Pelodiscus sinensis: one gene and its partner. The protein of the gene in region 2 interacts with the protein of the main gene of each other region in a pairwise test. Links are inferred from orthologs where the notes say so. Each region holds a gene or a part of one and is shown on either strand. Other genes may lie near its edges.

Region 1 (11,731 bases), on a different chromosome or scaffold from region 2:
CCACCCCAAGGCCTCGCCTTCATTCTACCCGTACCCCCAAGGCCCTGCCTCCTGCCACTTCCTTCCACAGCTGACCCACTATTTCCCCTCCCCCACCACGGATGTTCCAGCCCCAGAGCCTATGCTGGACAGTACCAGTGGCATCAGAGGAAGATGCAAGAGTGGAATAACCTTAGCTCATGTGGGTAGTGGCTGGCGTGTGCCCTGAAGCAGAAGGCAACAGCTACATTTTATTATATGCCTCCAAGGCCCAACAGCTTTTTCAGTCACCTAAAGGGATTATTTCACCAAGGGCTGAAATGTAGCCATTTCTGGAGCAAAGCCCAGGAGCAACCTTGCACAACAGTTTACAGCAGAAAGGGAAGAATCCCATCACCTAAACCGGCAAGGGGAAGTACTGAGGACGGAGCTAGTCAAGTTGCCATGTGGCTGTGACACCTACGTGAAGACCCTGACTCTTGCATAAAGTACCACAAGGTTTTTAATAATCACAGCCTTGCTGCCATTCCTTTGCTGGGCAGTGATTCATTATGCAGCAGCCAGGACACGTGGTTAACACGACTGACTAACGTGAGGGGGTTTCGGTTATCAACGTGCTGAGATCATGAACATGCTGGTAGAGCAGGATACTGGCAGACTTTGGCACCAGGATGAAGCAGGAAATGAGAACTTACTGTCATGTATACTCTTAAGAGAGCCCTGACACTGGTAAATGGGGCTGGATATGACCTCCCTTATTGCTACATGGACTTATGACTGTATAGGCACCTCTGCTGAGGAACTTCATTCTCAGGCTGCAGTTTTCCATCCCCTTCTCTCCCTCGATCTACGTGAGTGAACCCCAGCTCTGGGCACCACGGGAGGGCATTTCCCCTAATAGAGAAGTTTGCAAGTCTCCATCCAGGATGGCCATGTACACACAGACACTAGCCTCCCAAAAGGGCATGGACAGGGGCAGAGGGAAAGCATGGCCATGCTGTAAAGTAGGAGTTGCTCCATTTATTAGGCTTGGTCAGAAATGGCCACACACATAAATCTGCAGGGAAACATTTTAACCTGCTTTGATATTCAATAACGGGTTTGAAAACAGCCTTTCCTTTGTAACCAATTTTTGTAGGAGACAGCTGAACTGGAATTCATTCGCAAATGCAACACTATCAGCTTAGGACTGAATAAGGATCTTAACTGGGTAACACATTACAAAGACAATTTCCCCTCTCTGGATATTCACATCTCCACATCAACTGCTGTGACTGATCCGCCTCCACCCTCACTTCATTAATACAAGCAACTTCTTCCTTGTATATACCCCTGCTTTCACTCCAATTCATCTGATGAAGTGGATGTTACCCATGAAAACTTATGTCCTAATAAATCTGTTACTCTCTAATGTAGGGATGTAAAATCCCGTTTAATTGGTTACCCAGTTAACCAATTAAAAGAGTGGTGGGGGCCACTTCAGCCTGCCGCTGGGCTGGAGTGGTCCCCTCTGCCTGTCAGAACTGTTCGTTTGCAGCAGGCACCAAAGGACTGGAGTAGCTCCTTGCCTGTGGCAGCTGCTCAAGCCCCCACCGGTTAATTGGTGATGTGTACGGGTTCTAGTTAAGGGTTAGGGTGATGCTTACCGGTTAAACTTTCACATCTCTACTCTAAGGTGCCATGGGACTCTTCTTTGGTTTTGCAGCTACAGATTAACACTGAGACTGTCCTAGAGCAAAAGTCATCACCACAGCTACTGTATTTGATCAGCAAGAACAGATAGGCCCAGTTCTCCCTGCACAGTCTCACGCTGCACTCTGAGTGAAAAAGACTGGTTTCATGAGACTGCAACACAACCACCCCCTGCCACCGCACAGGGCCTTTCTCTGAGTGCTTCCCCCTCTTATTTTCCATGATACTGATGTCAGAGATGTGCCCCGAGCTCAGCTCTAGAAAACAGTCATTGAGTTGTTCTCGCCGTAGCTCTAAGACTGACTTTGCAGCAGCGTTAGGCATGTTACTTCATGTGCCTCAGTTTCCTTATCCATAAAACTGAAACAATACTTCCCTAACTGGCAGGAACATCAGAAGGCTTACATGTTTGCAGAGTGCTTTGAGGATGGCAAGTGCCATACAAACGCTCAGCACAAGATGCCCACAAGATGGTTACTTTCATCCCCAAAAGCCTCCAGGGCAGGGTGCACTCAAGCCAATTTTCCTGTTAGGATGAGCTCCCTAATCAGTGCTCTGCTCCCTCTATACCAGATGCACAGAGATAAAACCACCTATTGGAGAAGCACTTATGAAACCCCTACTCACTGTCTGAGGAAACTCTCGATACCTAGGGAAAGGGACATCTTGCTGCCCACCCAGAAGCTGGCAAAGAGGGCTGGGGGATGCAACTGAACTCAGGAGAGCAGCAGTGAGAGAATGCAGAACTCAATAGAAAACGTCTCAAAACTTCTCTCAAAATTACTGCAGGGCTGCAAGACTCTTGTACCAAATCACGGGAGAGAGTGGGAAGTCTCTGGAATACTGATCTAAATAGGCACTTTTGGACTATTGCCTTTAAAGATGTAAAACACAGGAAGACATGGACTACTGGAGCCAGAACCGTAAAGCAGCCAGCTAGAGAACAGAAGCTGTTTAGCAAGCTGCCGCAAATAATGCACAACAGGTTCGGGTCAGGCAGTAAAGAGCATTGAAACCGCTGAGGGAAAATGTAGTGTAAGAGGGGCTTTATGGGTCAGAAGCTGCAGATCTCAAAAAGCAACTTATCTCTTCTGGTCACAGAGTTGTCTGTCATCACAGTTGGGCTCAGTAACATTCACTCCCAGAATAGAAACAAACAATTCCCTTTACTGCCGGAGGCACTAGGTTTGTTAATCATGTTTCTCCCAGTAGTGTCTAAAACTGCCACCCAACAATGCAGTCCCGTTGAGCTAGGCAATGTACAAACACAGATGTGACATTTGGCAGCCTGTGTTACCTAAAACACAGATTAAAGTCCAAGAAAACTTACTACCTTTGTTAGACCGAGTAACAGATCAGCCATGGAACACAAAGGTTGCACCTGTTTCTCCCTGAACTCCACTCTTCCTAGTGTATGACAAGAGGCAGGATCACAACAGCAGCATTACGGAAGCCCAAAGTAGGGATGTTAAAGGTTAACTGGTTACCTGGTAAGCATTAGGTTTACCGGAATGCTCATTGCATAACCAGTTTCACAATGAACCACAGCAGGCTGGAGCAGCCCTGGCTTAATCCAGCCTACTATGAGGGGAGGGTAGGCAGAGATGCGTCTACATCAGCTGTGGGGAGCCTGCCGGCATGGAGGTGGCTGTCAGTACCCCAGCTGCTCCGACTCAGCATAGCATCCCGGCCCCAGGAGCATCCTGACCCTGGCTGCATCCCAGTGGGACTCTGGTGTTCCAGCCACGTCCCAGTGATGTCCTGGCCTCAGCCACACAGAGCAGGCAGGTGATTTTCTGGCCCTGGCCAGCTCCAATTCTTACCAGTCTTGGCAGGCCTCAGGACCACTCCCCCCACCCCAGCCGTATCAGAGCAACGGACAGGCGGAGAAACCAGTTAAATGTTAAAATTTTAGCCATTTAGCCAGTTAACTATTTAAATTCTTTTTTACATCCCTAGGCCCAAAGGCAAACTAAGTGCTTGGGGTTGTAAAAACCCCTCTGGGACAGGTATGGTCTTCCTATCTTCACAGCAAACTAATACCCAGAAGCTGAGGTTTTAACTCAGAAGCGGCTTTTCCGAGCCTCTTCAGAACAACCATTTTTAGTGATGGGGGAAGACCTTTCTGTTCCATCTTCATGTTGAGTTAACCAACGGAGAGAACCTTTGGCCTGCATGTTAACGAGACTGTCACGCTAGAAGCCTCCATCAGAACCTAAACCATTGTAAACCCATCATGGACTGCAAAAACCACCCAGGGATCCCAAATGGCTGGCTTGTAGGAAATAACTTTTCAGCAAAATGGCTGCCACCTCGGAAACCTTTATCCAAACCCTTGATCCATAGGAAAGGCTAGCACTTTGTGAAACCCCAGGGCAAGAAAGCAGATGGGGTGAGGAGGAGAAGATAAGATAAGTGACAAGGTTTTTAATGGGGCATCCAGAGGATTTCTCTGTTAAATATGCTCCTCACTACCAACAAGCTGTTGCAAAGGGGTGGATTCATTCTCAAGGGTTTCTTTGATCACGACACCCTAATGGCGATCTAGCCTTTCCACTCGATGCCATGAAGCAAAGGCTGCTGGCGAATGCTCTGCATGTGGTGCTACAGTCACACAGCTCCAATCACTTTCAAACTGGGAGGCAGGGAAAACGGAGACGCAAAACAGCAACACATGGAGAACAACACTTGAGTGGATTTCCTAGTAAATGTGCTCTCTGGCCTGCCTCTCTCTCTCCCACCTTCCAAAGATTTCACCAATTAATATTTAACCCAAAAGGCCAAAACTTATTTATACAGAAGGGTAGCCTTGAACAAAGCAGATGGGGGGGGGGAGGAGAAGCTTTACTCAACAAAGTTAAGAGACTATCCAGAATCCTGTGCTATAAACAGCCTCTGCAGATTTCCTAGCATCAGAGGAAGTCATGTTACATAGTCCTGTTATAAGAAAGTGCAACAAACTTAATTGCAGAACCAGGACTCCCAGTGGGGAGGAGCAATGACTTGTGAACACAGCGCTCCAGCGGATCCCAGACAGCATATACCCTCTTGGACAAGCCCCTGAGTCGCTTTAAGCCTCAGACTGTACTAGATACACTGAAGGGGGAGAGTATTCTCACGGGCCATCTCGGCCGCATGGAAATTCGTGGCCTTCAAGCGGAGGCCAGGGCACTGCCCCAGGGAGCTGGGATTTGTTCCGCTCTTGGGGAGGGGGACACTCTCCTGTCACTGGCTGCTCCTTCCCAAAGTGCTGGAGGAGGGGGGGGGGGGGGGGGTGTAAAACGTTGTTTTTGCGCCGCCCCCCAGCTTGGGACCGTCCCGGTTTCAGGTGCAAATGGAAACCGCCCTGCAAGCAGGGAGCCCAGACACTTTGCGAGGCGAGGACTCTGCGGGAAGAGTTGAGCCGCCCTATGTAAACAAGGCGCATCTGGGGCGGCAAGGAAGCAGGCAGGGGAAGGCGCTGCTCTCCCCCCACCCCCGCTAGCCTAGGGGCCGCGCCCGGGAGCGTCCAGTCCCCAGCACCACCCGGCCGCCGGACGAGCAGGCTGCAGGCAGAGCGCTGCCTTTGTTCTCCCTGCTGCTGTTTCAGGTGCGCCGCGCTCCCCCTCCCCGCGTCCTGCTGTGACCATTGGGCGCTGCTGCCGGGCGGGCAGAGCCCCCGAGCGCCTCCCTTTACCTTCTCCCGGCGCGCCGAGCCCCACGCGACGGTAGCAGGCGAGCGAGTCCGCCCCTCCTGCGGCAGTGGAAACAGGCAGCGAGCCCTGCGCTCTGCAGCCGCGGCTACAGACCCCTCCCAGTGCCCGCTCCCGCAGCTGCTGCGCCACACGGTTTGAACCAGCGCGAAGCCGCCTCGCCGCTCACCCGGAGACGCCTAGCGGGCAAAGGGGCGCCCTGAGTAAACCGGAGAATTGGTCCAATAAACGCTATAACCTCCCCCGCCTGGGCCGCCTACAACACTGCCCGCAGCCCCGTGGCTCCCCAGACCGACAGCCCCACACCCTGGTTCTGTTTGGATTGGTTGAAACTGAGTCGGTTTGATTTTTTACTCAAGGAGAAAAGCCAAGGCCAGCTGGGCTCTGGAAGTTATGAGCCACTTAGAAAGCTCAAGAAAAATCAGGTGTACAATGAAATATTTGTTTTGGATTGTGTTGCGTACAGATGCATGTAGGTACTTACCTCCCCACACTTTCCTGCCACATTCCTCAGTGGCGCCTTTGGGCTCAGACTTAACTTTCCAAACATCTGGGGGAGAGGGAGAGATTGAAGGGGGCAGGACAAGATAAAGAGGGGGAACATTTAGGCCAGTGGCTTTCAAACTTCTGTCTCATGAACCAGTTGAAGAAAATTGTCAGTGCCCATCAGGGCTGGCTCGAGCCCTTTTGGCGCCCTTGGCCCAGGAGTGCGGCGCTGCCCCATGGCGCACGGCGCACGCGCGGGCCCACCTGTGTGGCACAGGCCTGCCCCCCTAGGGTGCGCAGGCCTGCCCCCGGACGCACGGCGCATGCGCATGCCCGCTACGGCTGCTGGCGCACAGCCCGGGGCCTGCCCCCAGGCCGCACGAGCTGCCCAGCCCGGCCCTGCCTTGCGCGTGCGCTGGGCCGTGCAGGGACCTGCAGCCATGGGGGGAAGGGTGCTACGGGAGCCAGGCGCGCGCAACACCTGATGGCAGCTGTAAGGGATGCCATGTGCCCCTTACAGCTGCCATCAGGCACCCGTCATCGGTTGGCGCCCCGGGCAGCTGCCCAGCTCACCCATGCCTCCGTCGGGCCCTGGTGCCCATCACCCACCACAATTACTTCTTTTGACTAGAGTGCAGGCTCTAGGGCAGGGCTGAAGGATGCAGGAGGGGGCTCTGGACTTGGACAAGGGCTTAATTCTGGTGGATTCCATGCAGCGGTCATGCTAAGGCAGGTTTCCTGCCTGTCCTGGCATGATGGTATGCACTGTGCCCTGGAAGTGGCCAGCAGCAGGTCCAGCTCCTAGGTGGAGGTGTGCAAGGGGCTCTATGCCCTGCTCCCCATCCCCACTTGATTTCTTTGACTCCTGTGCCCAAACTGTTCCTGGCCGCAACGTGGTCCTCAGTGCTGGGAGAGGCAGGAAGCCTGCCTTAGTCTACCTCCTCTGGTTACCTTACAGCAAAATGACCCAGGGCTTGGTATTCCACCACCCAGTATGACCCATAGTTTGAAAACCACTGATTTAGGCTGAGATTTTTAACACAAACTGCCATCAATGGGCATCACCCTATTCAGCATTTCAGAAGAGTTTCTGAACCCTGATAAAAACCCATATGCTCCTATGTGCAGGAGCTTAAAAAGTCATGAGCCTGAGGACCCTAAAATTGATGGGTATTTTTTGTGGTTTTAAAAGACAACTGTGTTTATCTGTTCACTAACCTCCTTCCCACCACCACTTGGATGAGACAAGAACAGAGCTGCCAAGTCTCCCAAAGATTACAGAGAAATAATTTTTACAATGCTAGTTACCTCTATCTTCCACAGTAGCTGTGCTTCTCCAAGGGATTGTCACTCCCCACACATTTTTGGGTCAGGAGGTCCTGCTGTAATTACCCCCTTCTCAGGCTAATGGCCAACAACTTCCTGTATGTTATTGTGCTATTTGATGTTTTTCTTAAAGCCCCAACTCCTGGAATCATAGGATTCCATGAGACTCTCACCTTTCATTTAGAAATAAATAGAGGTAATCTTCTAGCTTTCTTGGTTACTCAGAAAACCTTGAAGAGTTAATGCAAGTGTGCCCTAAAGGCTAAACACCAGAAGACCAAGCAAGCAAAATACAATTTCATGATTTTTAAGAGGCATGCCTGGTTTTGGGGGGAGCTAAAGAATGATTTTGGAATGCTTGAGCGGGGGTGTCATACACACAAGTTACAGCACCATCCCCCTTTGCATCACATGGCAAAATAGTGCCCAGCCAGAGGTTGTGCCCTTCTAGAGGCTCCAGCAGGAAATATACTTTTTTGTTTGAGACACATTCACTAATGAGATTTCTACATGGCAGACTAGAAGCCATGTCAGACTGGTAGGTTGCCTCATCCCTCCATTATTTTCCCATACGGGTTAGCCTAAATATCTCAGAATTAGGATATGCCTCTATATAAGGAACTGGAACAAAGGAAAACTCTTGTCCAACTCAGGAAGCAATAGTAAATGACAAGGAATCCTGTGGCACCTCATAGACTAACAGATTTCTTGGAGTATAAGCTTTCGTGGGATATGACCCACTTAGATGCATGTAGTGGAATCTTTGTGGGTCTTATCCCACAAAAGCTTATGCTCCAATAAATCTGTTAGTCTATGAGGTGCCACAGGACTCCTCGTCACTTTTGCAGATTCAGACTAACACCACTACCCCGCTGAAATTAGTAAATGAGAGGACTAGATGTGCCACACTTTCAAGGCTCATATTCTTTTGTTTGTAGAGGAGTGTGGGGGGAGGGGAAGGGGGATTTCTTTGCAGCTATATCTATGGGGCAGCCCCCTCATACATAAATATTCACCTCAATCAAAACAGAGGCACCCTCTTCCCAGTAAAGAGGAGAATAAGTTCATATTACAGTTGACCTGAGGTTATGAGAAAGGGGCTATAAAATGGAAGAAAGAGGTGATGACGAGGAAGGAAGAGGCAGATTTTAAGTATGTGTGGCAGGTGTTAGAGAGAAAACTGCTCTTAGAGTGTGTTGGGGAAGGGGAGCTGAAGCAGAGCACCTTGTCCTCTTCCTGGCTTCAGGGAGCCAGCTTCCACACCCACCCACCCCTTTTCCTGAATCAGGGAGAGTCCCCTTCCTGTTCAGCCTATTGGAATCAGTGTGTATGGGGCAAGAGGAAAAGAACCTCTCTCTGCTTGATCTGTACTCTGTTGGAAGGAGAGCAAGGGATGGGGCAAGAGTATAGAGACGGCAAAGTGCACTCTGGGAGGGTGTTTGAGTGTAGAGCCGGAGCAGAAGTGACCATGAAATGGAGAAGGGGAGTGTGCATGGGTGGTGGGTGAAGGTAAAGGCTCAGGGAGGCAAGCCCTCCCCTGCCCCCACACTCCCACCCCTTCTGCCCAGGCCCTCCCCCCTCAGTATCAGAGGAAGATGAGGCTCCACACAGACAGAGGCTCCTGGAGCACAGGGAGAGAAGAGGACATGCAGCCCCAGTAGGCAGAGTGTGGGTGGGGCCAGGCTGGTGGTTAGGGAAGGCAGTGCCTTCCTCCACCTAACATACCTGCCACCCATGAAAGAGTGGCTATCCTCGGCCCAGCTGGAAAAAGAGGAGCATGTTGATGTTTCAGTGCCTGGGTAGGGTCAGATCTCCTCCTGTTTGGGGACAACAATGGGTACAGCAGACTGAACAGGTAGTAGCAATACACCTGCACATACTTGGGACAAGCTCCAGTGAGGAGTCAACCTACAGCCTCACACCAGACTCCTAAGGCAGTGGCCAGATGGTTCATTTTACAACATTTGCCTCATTCTGGGTCAATTGAGGCATTCCTCTCCCCTAGGTTTGGGGGAGCCTTGCTCAGGGCTCATTTCTGGCACTAGCAGATGGGGAAAGACCACCCACTCTTCTCACATGAAGGCATTTCCGTCCTCTGCGTGCCTTGCGGCAGGAGGGGCCCTCTCCCCACCCTTCTGCTGTAGCATTGTGGAAATAACTATTTTCAGCAAGAGCGTCCCTTTCTCCAGACCCTATTATTGGTTGTATTATGTAGCATCTGAAGGCTCCATTGACATTAGGGCCCTGTTGTATAATGCACTCATCCAAGAATAATCCCCATTCATAGGGGAAGAACTAAGGTGGAGATTAAAGTCCAGAGCCTTGAGGGAGGGAGGAGCCTACACACCGTTGAGGATTGGGCCTAAATGACTTGTTCAAGATAACAGTGAAGTCTGTGTCAGAGTTAGGACTGAAGCCAGATCTCCTGTTGCTAAGGCACTACTAGACCAGATCAAAGGGATCATTTTTCCTCTCAATCATATAGGTTGCCAGGTGTCTGGTTTTCTACCAAACAGTCCAGTATTTGCACCCTCTGTCTGGTAGAAAAATTCAGAAGATACCAGACATGTGCAATGTCCAGTATTTTCTGAATTTCTGGCAGAGCGCCAGAGGGAAGCATGGTGGGAGCAGGGGAGTGACTGGGAGGCGGGGCCATGATTGGCACTGGGAGCCCTGTGGTTGCATGCAAAAGGCAGGCACTCCCCCTGCCCAGCTTCTGCATGCTACCAGAGGCTCCCAGTGCCAGTCGCGGCCCCACCTCCCAGCTGGGAGCCTCTGGTTGTGAACTGTCGGGTTGGAGGAAGGTTACTAGTGGAGTTCCTCAGCGATCAGTTTTGGGGCCAATTTTATTTAATCTTTTTATTACTGATCTTGGCACCACAAGTGGAAGTGTCCTAATAAAATTTGCAGATGACACAAAGGTGGGAGCTATTGCCAATTCAGAAAAGTATCGGGATATCATACAGGAAGATCTGGATGATCTTGTAAATTGGAGTGATAGCAGTAGGATGAAATTTAATAGTGAGAAGTGTAAGGTTATGCATTTAGGGATTAACAACAAGAATTTTAGTTATAAGCTGGGGACACATCAGTTGGAAGTAACGGAGGAGGAGAAGGACCTCGGAGTCCTGGTTGACTATAGAAGGACTATGAGCCGCCATTGTGACATGGCTGTGAAAAAGGCTAATATAGCCTTGGGATGTATTAGGCGAGGTATTTCCAGTAGGGATAAGGAGGTGTTAGTGCCATTATACAAGGCATTGGTGAGACCCCATTTGGAATACTGTGTGCAGTTCTGGTCTCCATGTTAAAGAAGGATGAATTCAAACTTGAACAGGTACAAAGAAGGGCCACTAGGATGATCCGAGGAATGGAAAACCTGTCTTATAAAAGGAGACTCAAGGAGCTTGGCTTGTTTACCTTAACCAAAAGAAGGCTGAAGGGGGACATGATTGCACTTTAATATATTAGAGGGATTATTTAAGCTTAATACCAATGTGGACACAAGAACAAATGGATATAAGCTGGCTAGTAGGAAGTTTAGACTTGAGATTAGATGAAGGTTTCTAACCATTAGAGTGAAGTTCTGGAATGGCCTTCCAAGGGAAGAAGTGGGGGCAAAAGATCTATCTGGCTTCAAGATTAAACTAGATGGGTTTATGAAGGGGATGGTTTGATGAGAACATGATCTTGGTAACTAATTGACCATTCATTATCAGTGGGAATAGGTCAATGGAGGGATGATAGGAGTTACTATAGAGAACTTTCTGGGTGTCTGGCTGATGAGTCTTGCCCACATGCTCAGGGTTTAGCTGATTGGCAATCTACCCTGGAGGAAAATTCCTTCCTGACCCCAAATATGGCAGAGGCCCTGGAGGTTTTTCACCTTCCTCTGTAGCATGGGGTACAGATCACAGCTAGAGGATTCTCTGCATCTTGGGGGGGTCTTCAAAGTATTTGAAGGCTTCAATATCTGAGATATAGGTGAGAGGATTATTCTGGGAGGGGTGGGTGAGATTCTGTGGCCTGCACTGTGTAGTGGGTCAGACTAGATGATCATAATGGTCCCTTCTGACCTTAAAGTCTGAGTCTAAAACAAAATCATAAGAGCCAGGTAGTCCAATAAATCTGTATTTCATACAAAGCACGTACAAACCACCAGTGTGAATAAATACCCTTTAGCAGCAATACACAAACCAAATGAAGCCTCGAGCACAGAAATCCAGTCTTTGAGAGCCAGGTCCCACTTCTCCTTACAAGGCTCAGCAGGAAGGGAACTAGCAGGGGGCTGCTCTCTTTCCACGCGCAGGCTTCTTGTTGGTTTTTTGGGTCAGAAGCAGCTTCTCAATCCGGGGCAGGACACCTCCTTGCGGAATAGTCACATGGTTGACCAGCTTGTTCAGTTCATCATCACTCTTAATGCCCAGCAGGATGTGCCTTGGCACGATGCGGTGGGATCTCTTTGCCTGAGTCACGTACCCGGCTGCCTCCAGCACTTCGGCAGTCAGGTACTCTAGCACGGAGGCCAAATAGACGGCAGCACTGGGGCTTATTCT
Region 2 (12,597 bases):
ATACATGACTGTATAGACCGCTATTTAATTTATAAGAATTTTTGCCTGCGGTTGGCTTTGGAAGATTAATATTTATAGCTACCTCAAGAACACAATGTGTAGCTAATATGTTGTAAAACCAAACTAGACATAAAGCTTTCACTAATGAAGGTACATAGTCAGCCTTCTCAATAACTAAAGGAAAACATATTTTCTCTTAAAAGACAAATTTCAACTTTGGGATGAAATGCAAATAAACCTGCCTATGAGCTAAATAGAAAGGGATCTATAAACAAGAAAATGTTTTTCAATGCAAAATCTAGGATTGAATATTACTCACAAAGTTCTTTCTACATCCTGAGATGATCTTATTGGAGAATGGCTTAAAAAAAAAGCCTCACAAACCAAATTACAGAAATAATCCAAACACCTCCAAAGTAAGGAAGATATTTAAATAGTCAGAACTTACCCATCCACAAGGAGAACAGGCAAAAAGGTACTGCGTAAACACAGAATTTCCCAGCTTGCTGTTTCATAGTTGCTGAAGTGTATAGTTACTTTGTCCTTCCCTGTCCCTCAGTTTGTATGGACAAAAACATCTCTCTCTCTCTCTCTCTCTCTCTCTCTGTTGTTGCAACAGGATTTTGCATTCTACTCAATGAAAGTCACACTTTCTAAAGTTACTACAGCTTCAAGTTCACAGCATGATACCTGAATGACTGCCACATTTTAACTCGTTATAGTGGCTTCCCTGCCATCAGAATGCAGAGAGGACAACAACTATTCTCTTTGGGTACATCTACACAGCAACGTGCATTTCTAAATAACTTAGTCCGTGCCTACACAGAAGGCAGTTATTTTGAAATAAGGTCGAAATACTGTCAAGCTGGAGAACTTCTTACTCTGACTCCTGTAACCCTCATTGCATGAAGAGTAAGGGAAGTCAGAGGAAGAGTGCTCTATTTTGAAATAAGTGCTGTGTAGATGCTCCCAATTTCGAAATAAGCTATTTTGAAATAAGCGACACAAGTTACGTAGCTCAATTTGCGTAGCTTATTTTGAGTTAAGCCCTGCTGTGTAGATGCACCCTTTATTGCTTTGGACTTGTATATAGCAGCACCAGAACCTGGAGCTGATGACTGGCTATTCAACAGAAGGGTCCCTTTCTATGAAGCCCCATATGGAAGTGAAAAAGAACCATAGGCTGGATTTTCTCAGTGGCTGGGCCTTAGTTCCTATCGATTCCATTGGGAGTTGTGGATAGTCAGTGCTTCTGAAAATCTGGCCATATGTGCTATGTGTGGGATGAAAATATCTCCCCTCCCCCCCACAAGTATTTTTTTGAGGGTAGTAGAAATCCTGATTAACCAAATGTTGGTTAATGCCAACCCATGTTAACAGAAGCTTGGTTATGGGTTATATCCCTGAGGGATGGGAAAGGGGGCTGAAAATAGCAGACCTGTCTGCAGAATTGACAAAGGTACTATTTTGTTGTTTGTGGAAAGTAAAGCCGGGCTCGCACATAGGAACAGGTCCAACACTATTTTACAGGAAGAATTTCAGCAGCCAGCTTCACATGCTGCAACAGCTCACTCAGTACCCAGTCATCCTGCTGACAGTATTACAGCTGCATGGTGGACACACCACACCAGCTGCCTGCCTGGCATCTCTTCCCTGAGCTCTGGATTGGTGACCTGCCTTCAGATTTCTTGACGCCTACTGGCTCTCTTTCCTATGCCCACGGTGAACGGAAGATTTTGGCTGTTCCTCCTTTAAATAACTGGGAATGTGCTCTTATAGTCTGGTGAAGATCTTGTGATATTTGGTGTGTTTCTTAAAGGCACAGCTCCTGGAGTCATGTGATTATGAGAGCGCTCAGCTTTCACTTAAAAAAAAATTGCAGCCTGATTGGTTGGGAAGAAAAGCTTGAAAACATCAAAGCTAGCAGTTCAAAGCCCAGAAGGCAAATCAAAAGAAGGCAGATTATATTTTTAAATCAATCCCATGATTTTTGAATGCTTCATATTAGCCATACTGGCATTGACTTGTTTGCTCCAGCAGCTGGATGGAGACGCAACTCACAGAGATTGTTATCGTGTTGAGCAATGTGTCACTGGATGACTGCCAGAGCACTGCCGTTTATGGCCCATATGCTTTCCACAGCAAAGGCCTCAAATAGCCTCCCTGGAAAGCAGAAAGAGAAGTAGATTTCTCTGGCTGGAGCACATGGAGGCTTCGCTGTCCCAGGACAGGCAGTGCTGCCAAGTTTGAGGAGAAAAAAATGAGTTTGGATGAGCAGGGCTCTGCTGGAAGAGGGGATGTGGGGGAGGACCCCAAGGGGAGGGAGTAGAAAAGGTTGAGTTATGTTGGCAGAGGAGGCTCGTGGAGGAGGGCAGGGGAAAGAGGCTGTATTGAGAGGCTGAAGATGGGGGTGCAGGCTGTGCCGTGTGGGTCAGTTAAAGCGAGGTAAGTACAAGTGTAACCCTTTTGACACTGCTGGTCTACACAAATAGCCAAGGAAACAAAATGGCTGCCAAGCATGGCGGAGGACGGAACCCAGAGTGGTTACTAAGGCTGCTAGAGGGAGCCATGTGAGTGCACCAGCTGTTTGTGGGGAGCCGATAGGAGCAGCCCTGCGGAGAGATGGCATCACAGGTGGGAAACTTGTGTTCTGGCAAGAGAGACCTTTGGGGCCAAGATTGAAGCTGGAGGGAATGGAACCTGCCAAGTCTCCTTTGAGCCCCCCACTAGGTAACATTGCTGCATGGTTGTTGCCTCCCTTAGGCCAGGATGGGGATTGGGGACCTCAGGGCAAAGGAGTTGTGGAGGAGAAGACCCACAGCACCTGCTATTCACCACCCTATCAAATCCCAGTCGCCCTGACCCCTTACATGCCATACCACCCATAACTACACACTGGCCTCACCCTATGATTGTATCCCATGCCTCCCCAGTCTACTCCATCAGCAGGACCATCCCACCGCAAATAACTAGATGCTTGATATATTGTTTTCCTCCCCACACAATTTAAGGAATCCCTGACCCCCCTGCAGCTTGTCCTCACTGATCCACTAGTCACTGAGTCTACGTTTACACTGCAATACTATTTTGAGATACCGGAGTATCCTGAAATAGCTATCCCACACCTTCACAGAAAGCCTGTTATTTCAGGCTCACTATTCCGATGGCTCTGTAAACCTCATTCTACAAGAAGTAAGGGATGTACAGAGCCAAATGGCGAAATAAGCTATTTCAAAATAACATCAAAATCAGATACACAATTTGTGTAGCTCAAATTGCATATCTTATTTCGAGTTATGGTGCAGTGTAGTCACACCCTCAGGTGGAAATTTTCTTCCTTGTCACACTGCTCAATTTGGGTATGTCTACACTAGGGGACAAAGTCGAATTAAGATTCGCAACTTCAGCTACTTTAATTGTGTAGCTGAAGTCGAAGTAACTTAACTTGGCTTTTGGAGCTGTCTACGCTGCAGGAAGTTGAAGGAAGAACACTTCCTTTCACTTCCCTTACTCCTCATGAAATGAGGGTTACAGGAGTTGGAGTAGGAAGCCTGTTATTTCGAAATTATTTCAAAATAACAGGCTTGCTGTATAACCGCGCACTGTGTTATTTGGAAATAACCTGAGTTATTCTGAAATAAAGCAGCTGTGTAGACATGCCCTTTGTGTTTATAATGTAGGGATCTGAAAGCACAAGTTTGTAGGCATGTATTTTCAAATGTGCCCACTAATGCTGTGTCCCTCTCTTTGTGGGCATCCAACTTGAAACTCCCCTGGACTGATTTTCAGAGGTGCTGGGCATTCATTGCACTCCAATAGAAATCAGTTGAAATTGTCTCCAGAAAGGTCCCCAAAACTGAGGCTATGTGTAGACTACACCGATCTATTGGAAAAAGATACACAAATTGCACTCCGAATTTTCATATCTTTTTCCAACAGTTTTTTTGGAAGAGGTTTTTCTGAAATTTGGCCCATCTACACTGGAAAAGCCTCCTCTTTCGGAATAGCCCTTCAAATTTTTGGAAAAGCCTCCTCTTTTGGAAGAGCCCTTCTTTCTTGTGGGGGAGGAAGACATGACTTCCAAAAGAGCACGTCTGTTCTTCTGCAAAAAAAAAAAAAAAAAGCGGAAGAGCAGACGCATTATTCCCTGGACGCAGTGGAGTTTTTCCAGGATAGGTCCAATATCCCAGAAAAACCCTATAGTGTAGACATAGCCTGAGTATATACAATTATGGTAAATTTTGGCCTTTATTGATAAAAATACTGACTAGACACACCTATATTAAGAATATGGGTTAATACTAACACACACATTCAGCTGGAAATGAAAGTACTAAAAATCTGACCTACTTTTCATCTGCTGTTCATGTTCTTTGTTTATTTTACTCAGCTCAGACAGTGAGAAAAGGCTGGATTTTCTTTTTTAATTCTTTTACATATATTATAACTTTTAATAATAAATGAGACAAACAATTAACTATGTTTTGTCCAGCACCTAGCACAATGGTGCTCCTAAATGCTACTGCAATACACACTATACATAAAGACAATAATGAAAATTAATAGCCACCTGATTCTAGGGGATGTCTTCAGGCATAAAAGAGAGAGAGAAGTGTGTTTGTGTGTTTCTTTACTTTCATAGGTAAAGTACATATACATCAATTGCCAAATGATCTACTTGAGAGAGTCTCTATTTTTACTAGACACACACCAAGTATGATAGAGATACATGACATTTTAAAGACATTTAAACAAGTCCATCCTGCTCCTATTGAAGTTTGTAGCAAAATAACAAACATATAGTGCTTCAGAGGGGTAGCCGAGTTAGTCTGTAACAGGAAAAACTTAAAAAACAACAAATAGTCTAGTAGCACCTTGAAGACTAACAAAACATCAAGGTTTTGTCTACACTGGCGCAATCTTGCTCCAGAAATATGCAAATGAGGCTAAGCGTGGAATATCGCCGAGCCTCATTTGCATATGTAATGAGCCGCCATTTTGCGGAAGAGGCTCTTGTGCAAGAAGGAGTGTGTATACTGCCCCTTTTTGCGCAAGAAAAACCCTCTTGCGCAATGCCATTACACTGATTATTTTCAGGAATAACGGCATTGCGCAAGAGGGTTTTTCTTGCGCAAGAAGGGGCAGTGTACCACGCTCCTTCTTGCGCAAGAGCCTCTTCTGCAAAAATGGTGGCTCATGAGATATTCAAATGAGGCTCGGCAATATTCCATGCTTAGCCTCGTTTGCATATTTCTGGTGCAAGATCGCGCCAGTGTAGACAGTCATAGATGGTATCGTGAGCTTTTGTGGGCACATCTGAAGAAGTGGGTTGTGGCCTGCAGCCCACTCCAGTGCTCTTTCCACTAGCCCATGCTGCTTCCCAAAAGTGGACATGATCACGGCTTGAGGCAGCACAATTCCAAAACTCCATTTGCTTTCTGTGGGAGCAGTGTTGGGCCCTAAATGAGATCACAGTAATAGATGACAGACAAAGGCTGGGGAACATGAGAAGACTGGGGGTTAAAATACACCAACCAGTATGAGAAATGCTTTGTACAAGTCTTGTTGGTTGCTTCACTATTTTATTTATTTTGGCTATGTTATGAATATATTTACAGCTTGAGGGTATAAAATCAGGCAGGAGTGGTAACGAAATTATTCCCGGACCAACATTACTCAACCAATGAGCTCATGGCTCGAGGTGATATTTAAAGAAGAATGTGCTTGCGTGGGGCCAGCTTTACTAGTGAGCTCAGCAGCCCATTTGGTGTACGAAACCTATTGAGCTCTTTTGAAAATCTAACCATAAGCATCACTTTGTGAGCGGCTGGGTGCTGGGAATGTCTGAACATTTGGCCCCATTAGTCAGAGCTCAGGTGAAACTACCCCTCCCCCCAAAGTGCACCGGAGCATGAAGAATATTCCACAAATAAGGGGCAGTGTGAGAAAGGACAGAGAGTAAGAGAAAGAGACCAGGGGAAGAAGATGCATTAATCTGGTAGAGCATAGGGTGCAAGGGAAATCTGTTGTAGACATAACCAAAAGCTGTAAAGCATACATGATTTATCAAAACATTTACAGAATAAGATATCTCATGAGGATTGCTCCCTCAGAGAACACACCTTCAGCATGTGTATAAGCTTGTATGAGCTTGAATCTAAAACCCATTTAACCCAGTCATGATTGTTCTTTTAATTACACTCATCTCCATGTACTACAATTATTTCACCTTCTTGTTCCCTGTACTGGTAAAGTTCTGTTTCCAACATTCAACGGTGACATTAAAATCCAGTTTTGTTTTCACAGATTTTTTTAATGAACTGAAAATGTTTCTGGTTCTATTAAGTTTTTTTTTCCTCCTGTCAACATGCTGGTGCTACATTACTTTTTAAACATTGTTACATCACATTTTTTTCTCCCTGAAGGCAGGTTTTCTCTCTTTCCCCTCTAGGTGGCTCTGTGAAGTAGCATTAAAACATTTTAAACTACAGTAGTCCATTCATGTAATATCAGACGGATGGACTACACAACATAAAACACCTAAAATCACCCATATTTATACAGGATTTTTCATTCAGAAGAACAGGTCCCCAGGTCCTTTTTAAACTGCTAGGGATGAGTTCATTACATACCACTGAATCAACACGAAAATTAAAAACATCTAGTTCTCAAACACTACAGAAGTTGGAGTTGAGGATTATTTGTATGGATTTTATATGATCTGGGTTTAAATTTAATTGCAGAGTTGATAGTGGAAGAAAATAGAAATCATGTTTGAAGGTGTAGCAGTAGAATTATAGCCCAGAATTCATTCTTCCCATGAAAATATTTATGTGGCTGGGAAGTGGACAATCCAGTCAGGATCCCCTCATGGAGTTTTCCTTGGGTTGTTCTTCTGGAGGTAGAGGCTGTAGTTATAGGGTCCCTTCCAGATTCCCAGGAGAGCAGGTCCTTCTCTGCTAGAAGCTTTGTTACTCTGCGCCAGCTCTAGGTTACCCCAATGTCCCTTTGGAAACAGGCTGTCACTGTCCAAGGGACACACCTTTAAAAGGGAGGGGGCTTTCCACCAGTACAAAAACCATCCCAGAAGATTTAAGGCATCCTCATGCTGCATTAGTGCTCATCTTGCTTCTCTTTGGGATAGTGAGGAAACTATGTGCATCTCTCATGGTCTCCTCTCACGACATTCCTTTGACTAGTCTTGGCAGACTTTCTTCCAGCTGCAGATCCCTCTCTCTGCAAAGTAGGCTTTGTGGGGTTAGATGGGAAAAGTGTGAGGAAGGCAACCAACATCTTCCTTTGGGCCAGGAACCAAAGGGAGGGGCTCATACTCACACTCATAGGATACAAGAATCTGTAGGTGAGATGTGAGTTATTTTTCAGACAGTGAACAAAACTTTGGATGGCTCTGCATACAAAATTAAACATGCTAACGAAGGCAGTAGCAAGTAGCTGTAAATGGAGCTCTAAACCAGGCCCTGACCTTCATTCAGCTGGCTAGCTTCGTATTCCTTTTCATTAGCCAGCTTGTTCTCCATAGCAGTTAGATATCAGCTAACTCTGAGTGTCAGGTTTACTCCCTTTGTATGTAGAAGCCTTTCTCCAGTCTTCTGATTGTTGCTGGCCCTTTAAATTACAGAGAAGGCAGCAGCTGCAGCCCTATGGTGCTCATTTTAGAGGCAATCAGCTTGCAGGTTGCATCTCCCTCTTCTCTCTATGGTAAGCATTTGGTTCTTCTTTCTTAATTTTTGCTTTCTAGTTTTGCTAAGGGCTTGCTCCTTTCAGGGGTGGCTGTTAAGCCACTTGGCTTTACAGAGAGAGGTTTAATGGTCTCCTCACAGTGTGTATGTGAGACCTTATGCTTAACTAGTTTGTTTGTGTCATCAGAAGTCCTGTACTGCCAGCTGCTAGACTATTGTTCCCTTGCAAGCTAGCTATCCAATAACAGCTGTTAAAGCAACAAGCTAGGCCATACTGTGACTAGAGAAGTAGTGTCGCTTGCACCCCCTCATCTCTGCTATCGGTGAGGGTTGTTCAGCTAGGGTTGTCTATCTTCACTCAAGGTTCTGCTGGGAGGACTCCTTTGCTTGTTCCCTTACTGCTCCTGGATTTTGGGTGAGGGAAGAGTAGCAAGTCAACTTGCTTTCTGTGCTTCATCTTACATATACAGTCAGTGTCTTCAGGGGAATGGGCTGCCTGTTCCTCTCCCGCCCTTTGGCAGCAACATTCAAAACTTGACTTTGCCTTGCAAGCTAGAGCTGTGCTCCCACAGCCCTGTTCTGTTAAGGGGTCCCTAGATCCTGGTGGTTTTATGCTGCATCTTTGCTTATGCTGCTGTGTCACTGAGGGTAGCATTTGTACAAATCTAGGACAGGCAATGGAGCAGGAATCCAAAAGGAATATTCCACATTCCTTTTGCAGGTGTCTATAAAATGTGGATTTTAAGTATTTTTTTTAATGAGAGTTTAGCTGTGCTGGTGAAAGGCATCAGAAGGAAGGAAGTCTTGGAAGCTGTAATATTTTATCTCCACAGCATGCAGCACGGGCAGTGGTGATGCCTGCATCCCCATTATGGGTCTCTGTTCTGCAGGGACTGTTTTGGTAGATGGCTCTCCTGGCTTTGTGGAGTCTGCCAATGTTAAGTTTTTTCTTCCTGCCTACTAGAAACTGCCTGACAACCTGTCTGCTCCTTTCTTATAGCCACCAACCATATATCAGATGGTAACCAGTTTTGGCCACTAATGATCTGGGCCAAATTCTAAACCACAGCTTCTTCGTGTTGATCTGTCTCTTGGCCTTTCTTCCTGCCTCTCCAACATTGGATTTTTTTTAAGCTAGCAGTCTTGCAAGCTGTCCTTTGACAGACTCCACGGTAATGAATACACACAAAGGAGCTGAATTAAGATTGCTGCAACAACCCCTTAATTGATAAGAAAATACAGGCTCCTCCAATTACACTACCAAGTTTTTGGGGGTGATGCGTAGACAATAGCAGTGATGATCCCTGGCTGTTTAAAATTAAGGGGTGCACATGTGGGACATTTTGAGAAAACACTTCTCACCCGCCTCGAGCCTCTCATTACATCTCATCAGGGAGGTGAGAGCATCTCAGCTTTCTCTCTCCCACGATGGAAGCTGGCATCTACTGCTCTGTGACCCAGGTGTCCTTATTATTGGAGGGCACACAGCAGCTGCCCTGGTTGCCGAGTGTTCCCCCTGTTCAGTCTCATTGGAACAGGAGCGCTCCTGCAATTGTCACTTTGCCTTCTCTGCTTGAGCTCAAGAGCCCTGAACATGAGTGCTTCCCCTCACAGCAGTCAAAGAGTAAGGAGTGCTCCGGTGACTGGTGCCATGCTAATCCGTATGAACCCCCAGCAGAGAGGCGGTAAGGTGTGGAGCAGTGAGTTTTCCCTCCCCCCGGACAGGGAGCTGATGAGCAGATCGAGATTCCTTAATCACGGTGACCCCATTTGTCAAAAATGGGATAGTGCAGGAGTGGCCAAAATACGGCTGCATGTGGCTCTCTGATAGTTAAAGTTCTGCCCATAGACCTTCCTAATGATGTTAAATTGGGTTTGATCAGCTAATCTAGTAGTTGATGGAATTTCCATTGACTACTTGATAAGGGGGAAACTGCAGAAACACATACACATCGCCCACACACGTTGCCTCTAGCTTCTGCAGTGGGGAGGTGAATTTGGGGCTTCAGCCCTGTAGAGCAATCCTGCCACACCTTTGGAGCAAGGCTGAAGCCCTGAGCCATGACCCTGGATGTCCTGGTTCTCAAACTTCTGAAGACTGTCACATTCAGTTTGGAGAGTCAGTACGTTTGGCCATGCCTGAGGTAATGTTTTTACAGGGCATTATTGGCTATTACAAGCAATGTGGTTAAGTGATTAGGGGCCTAGACTGGGACTAGGGAGAACTGAGTTTTATACCTGGCTTTGCCACTGATCTGTTGGGAAAGTCACTTTGCCTCTCTGTCTCAGTTTTCCCCATCTGTGAATAGTGCTAATGCTATTGATTGCCTTTGTAAAATATGTGAGATCTACTGATGAAAAATTCTACATAAGAGTATTAGTAATAATATAATTTGGCATTTCTGAAGTGCTGTGTTTAGGTAGATGTGTATGGACAGTAGGGATGTGAACCAGTAAGTATCATCCTTGCCAGGTGATGCTTACCAGTTATGGTAACTGGAGAGGATTGGAGCAGCCTCTCGCCTGCTACAAGCAGGGTGCCCTTCTAACTCTGTGGGACCCTCCATGGGGGGGTTTTAGTCCAGCACTGGCATGCTGGGAGCAGCCCCTGTCCACGGTGTGGGCCCCCATCCACTTCTGTTTAATCAGTTAATCATAATGTTTAACCTGTTAACTAATGAAATGGGATTTTACATCCCTAAGACAGTGAGTAATTATAATTGGATCAGAAAACCAGAACTTCTCCCTCTTTTTTTTTTTTTTTTTTTTTTTTTTTGATTAAGGATTCCTTTGTAGTTTAGTTTTTAATAATTTGGTTTGAGTTTATGGCTTTCATGGTGGTTAAGATAACAACTGTCTTTTGACTGTTTGCAGAACACTGATGTTCAGGTTGAGGGACATTTGGAAATAAAACCTTAATGCTTATCACATAATTGACACTGAGAAATTGTTATTCATTAGTTAAGAATCAGTAAGTGGGAGGTGTTTCTCATAATTTCCCCTGTTAAATGTAGCCATGTAAGGTTTTATTATGAATCCTGCAAATTGATTAACCACCTTTTATTCCAACAACTTTCCCCTCCATTACAAAATAACATGCTTTGCTTGCTTGCTCGGTTCACAGGAAATCCATGAAGTGGATCATGGTCTCATCCGCCAGTTGTTTGCAGATTCAGAGGAGACTCTTGGTGCCTGTACCGAGAAAATGCAGGCCCCTGCTCCATATAACTGGAGTGCTGACTGGAGCTTTTGGGTAACTCGGTTGTTTTTTCTCTTAAATTCATTGTTACAGATTCCAAGGCCCAGAGGGACTGTTTTGAACATCTAGTCTGCCCTCCTGTCTAACACAGGCCATAGAATTGCCCCAAATGAAAAGCAGATCTTTTAGGAAAAACATCCAGTCTTGATTTTAAAATGGTCATTGATGGAGAATCCACCAAGATTCTTAATAAATTATTCCAATGAGTTAATTACCATTGTGATGGGTTAGATCACAGAAGTCCCCTTGGAGTTGTCCCCCGGTGTGCTGATCATGCTACTGGTGCCCACCTTCCTGCCCTCTTAGGCTCCCCCTAGCCAAGTCACAGAGTTGGGGTTACCACCCTTCTGCAGAGCAACACAGATGCTGAACCCATTCAGCTCTGGGAGGGCTCAGCACACAGGAAACCATCCTCAAATGGAACCTAGGCCCCAAACAAATCCATCTTACTGTGTGAATGAAAGAGAAATATGCACAGTGGTTGTTCTTCCTCTCCCCCCTTTCCAGGTAACAGTTATTTACATTGGGCTTGATAATAAATAAAAGCATTTTTATTAAGTACAAAGAGTAGGATTTAAGTAGTTGAAAGTGAAAAGAGACAGATTATAGTAAGTTACTAAATCAAAATGAATATAAAACACTTTTAGCTAGTTCTAATCCACTAAGAAACTTGTTACATGCAAATTCTTACCCTGAACAGTTGTTCCAAACATCTCATTCACTGTCTAAGCAGCCTACTAACTTAGGCTCGATTCTTCCCCTGTTCAGTCTTAGATGTTTCCAGCAGGCATCTTATGTGGTAAGAAGGGGGAGAGGGAATCTCATGACATCTAGCAATTGCCTCTATTCTTTGTTGTTTCCTCCCACCCTCCTTTATATACATTTTGCCCAAGGTGGGAACTCTTTGTGCTCAGTTCAAACTTTTCTCACCTTGCGTGGAAAGGCACCAGATCCAAAATGGGTTTCAGCTCATGTGGCCTGGCCACATGTCTTTCTACGACCAACCACAGTTTGAGCTTACAGGACAAACAAGACTATTCACAGGTTGTTGATTTGATCACTGAGCCATTAATTGTCTGAAGCATCCATAATGGCTCTCCTTAGCATATTTAAAAAGATAAATAGGAGCCACACTTTATAGTTCTAAGTTCACATACAAGAATGACACACGCACAAAAATACAATGTACACATTCAGCAGATTGTAACATCAACATTGATATGTTGTATGAGGTATTTTGTCTAAGGTGTCTTTGAGTTATACCAATATTCATATTCATGAGCCAATTTTCATTAAGCACTGGGGTCGGGACAGTACCGTGACAATGCTCACTGTTCAAAATGGAGGCCTTATTTATAAATATGTACTATTAGTGCTTTTTATGCAAATTTCTTTGTAGCCTTTAATTAAAAGCTTCCCAGCCTGTTCTGTGAGGTAAGTAACTTGTTACTGCTTCGCTGTAGGGTAAATGGAGATATAAGGAGGTGCTATGCCTATGCTAGTATCTAGTCAGTGGTAGGTCTGGATATAGAACCCAAGAGTCCTGATTCCCAGTTCCCTGATTGGGTAAGCTGTACCTTCTCTCTGTTTTCTGCTCATAAAAATGGATTGCTGCCACTTTTTCTCCAGTAAAGACCG

What was found.
Region 1: the proteins of GRAMD1C (region 2) and CD151 interact in binary tests that used the Homo sapiens proteins (3 or more experiments, as listed by UniProt). The link is inferred for Pelodiscus sinensis from reciprocal best matches to the Homo sapiens genes GRAMD1C and CD151.

Annotation. Positions count from the first base shown.
Region 1 is NC_134714.1:120,078,333-120,090,063, forward strand, and holds the start of CD151 (CD151 antigen), read right to left. Parts: upstream 5,527-11,731; 5' UTR 5,348-5,526; intron 1-5,347. Other genes in the region: late histone H2A.1-like, read right to left, coding at 11,453-11,731. UniProt on the Homo sapiens protein: Structural component of specialized membrane microdomains known as tetraspanin-enriched microdomains (TERMs), which act as platforms for receptor clustering and signaling.
Region 2 is NC_134711.1:147,726,933-147,739,529, reverse strand, and holds the start of GRAMD1C (protein Aster-C), read left to right. Parts: upstream 1-7,627; 5' UTR 7,628-7,716; coding exon 7,717-7,719; intron 7,720-10,824; coding exon 10,825-10,953; intron 10,954-12,597. Other genes in the region: uncharacterized protein LOC102459989, read right to left, coding at 449-515. UniProt on the Homo sapiens protein: Cholesterol transporter that mediates non-vesicular transport of cholesterol from the plasma membrane (PM) to the endoplasmic reticulum (ER).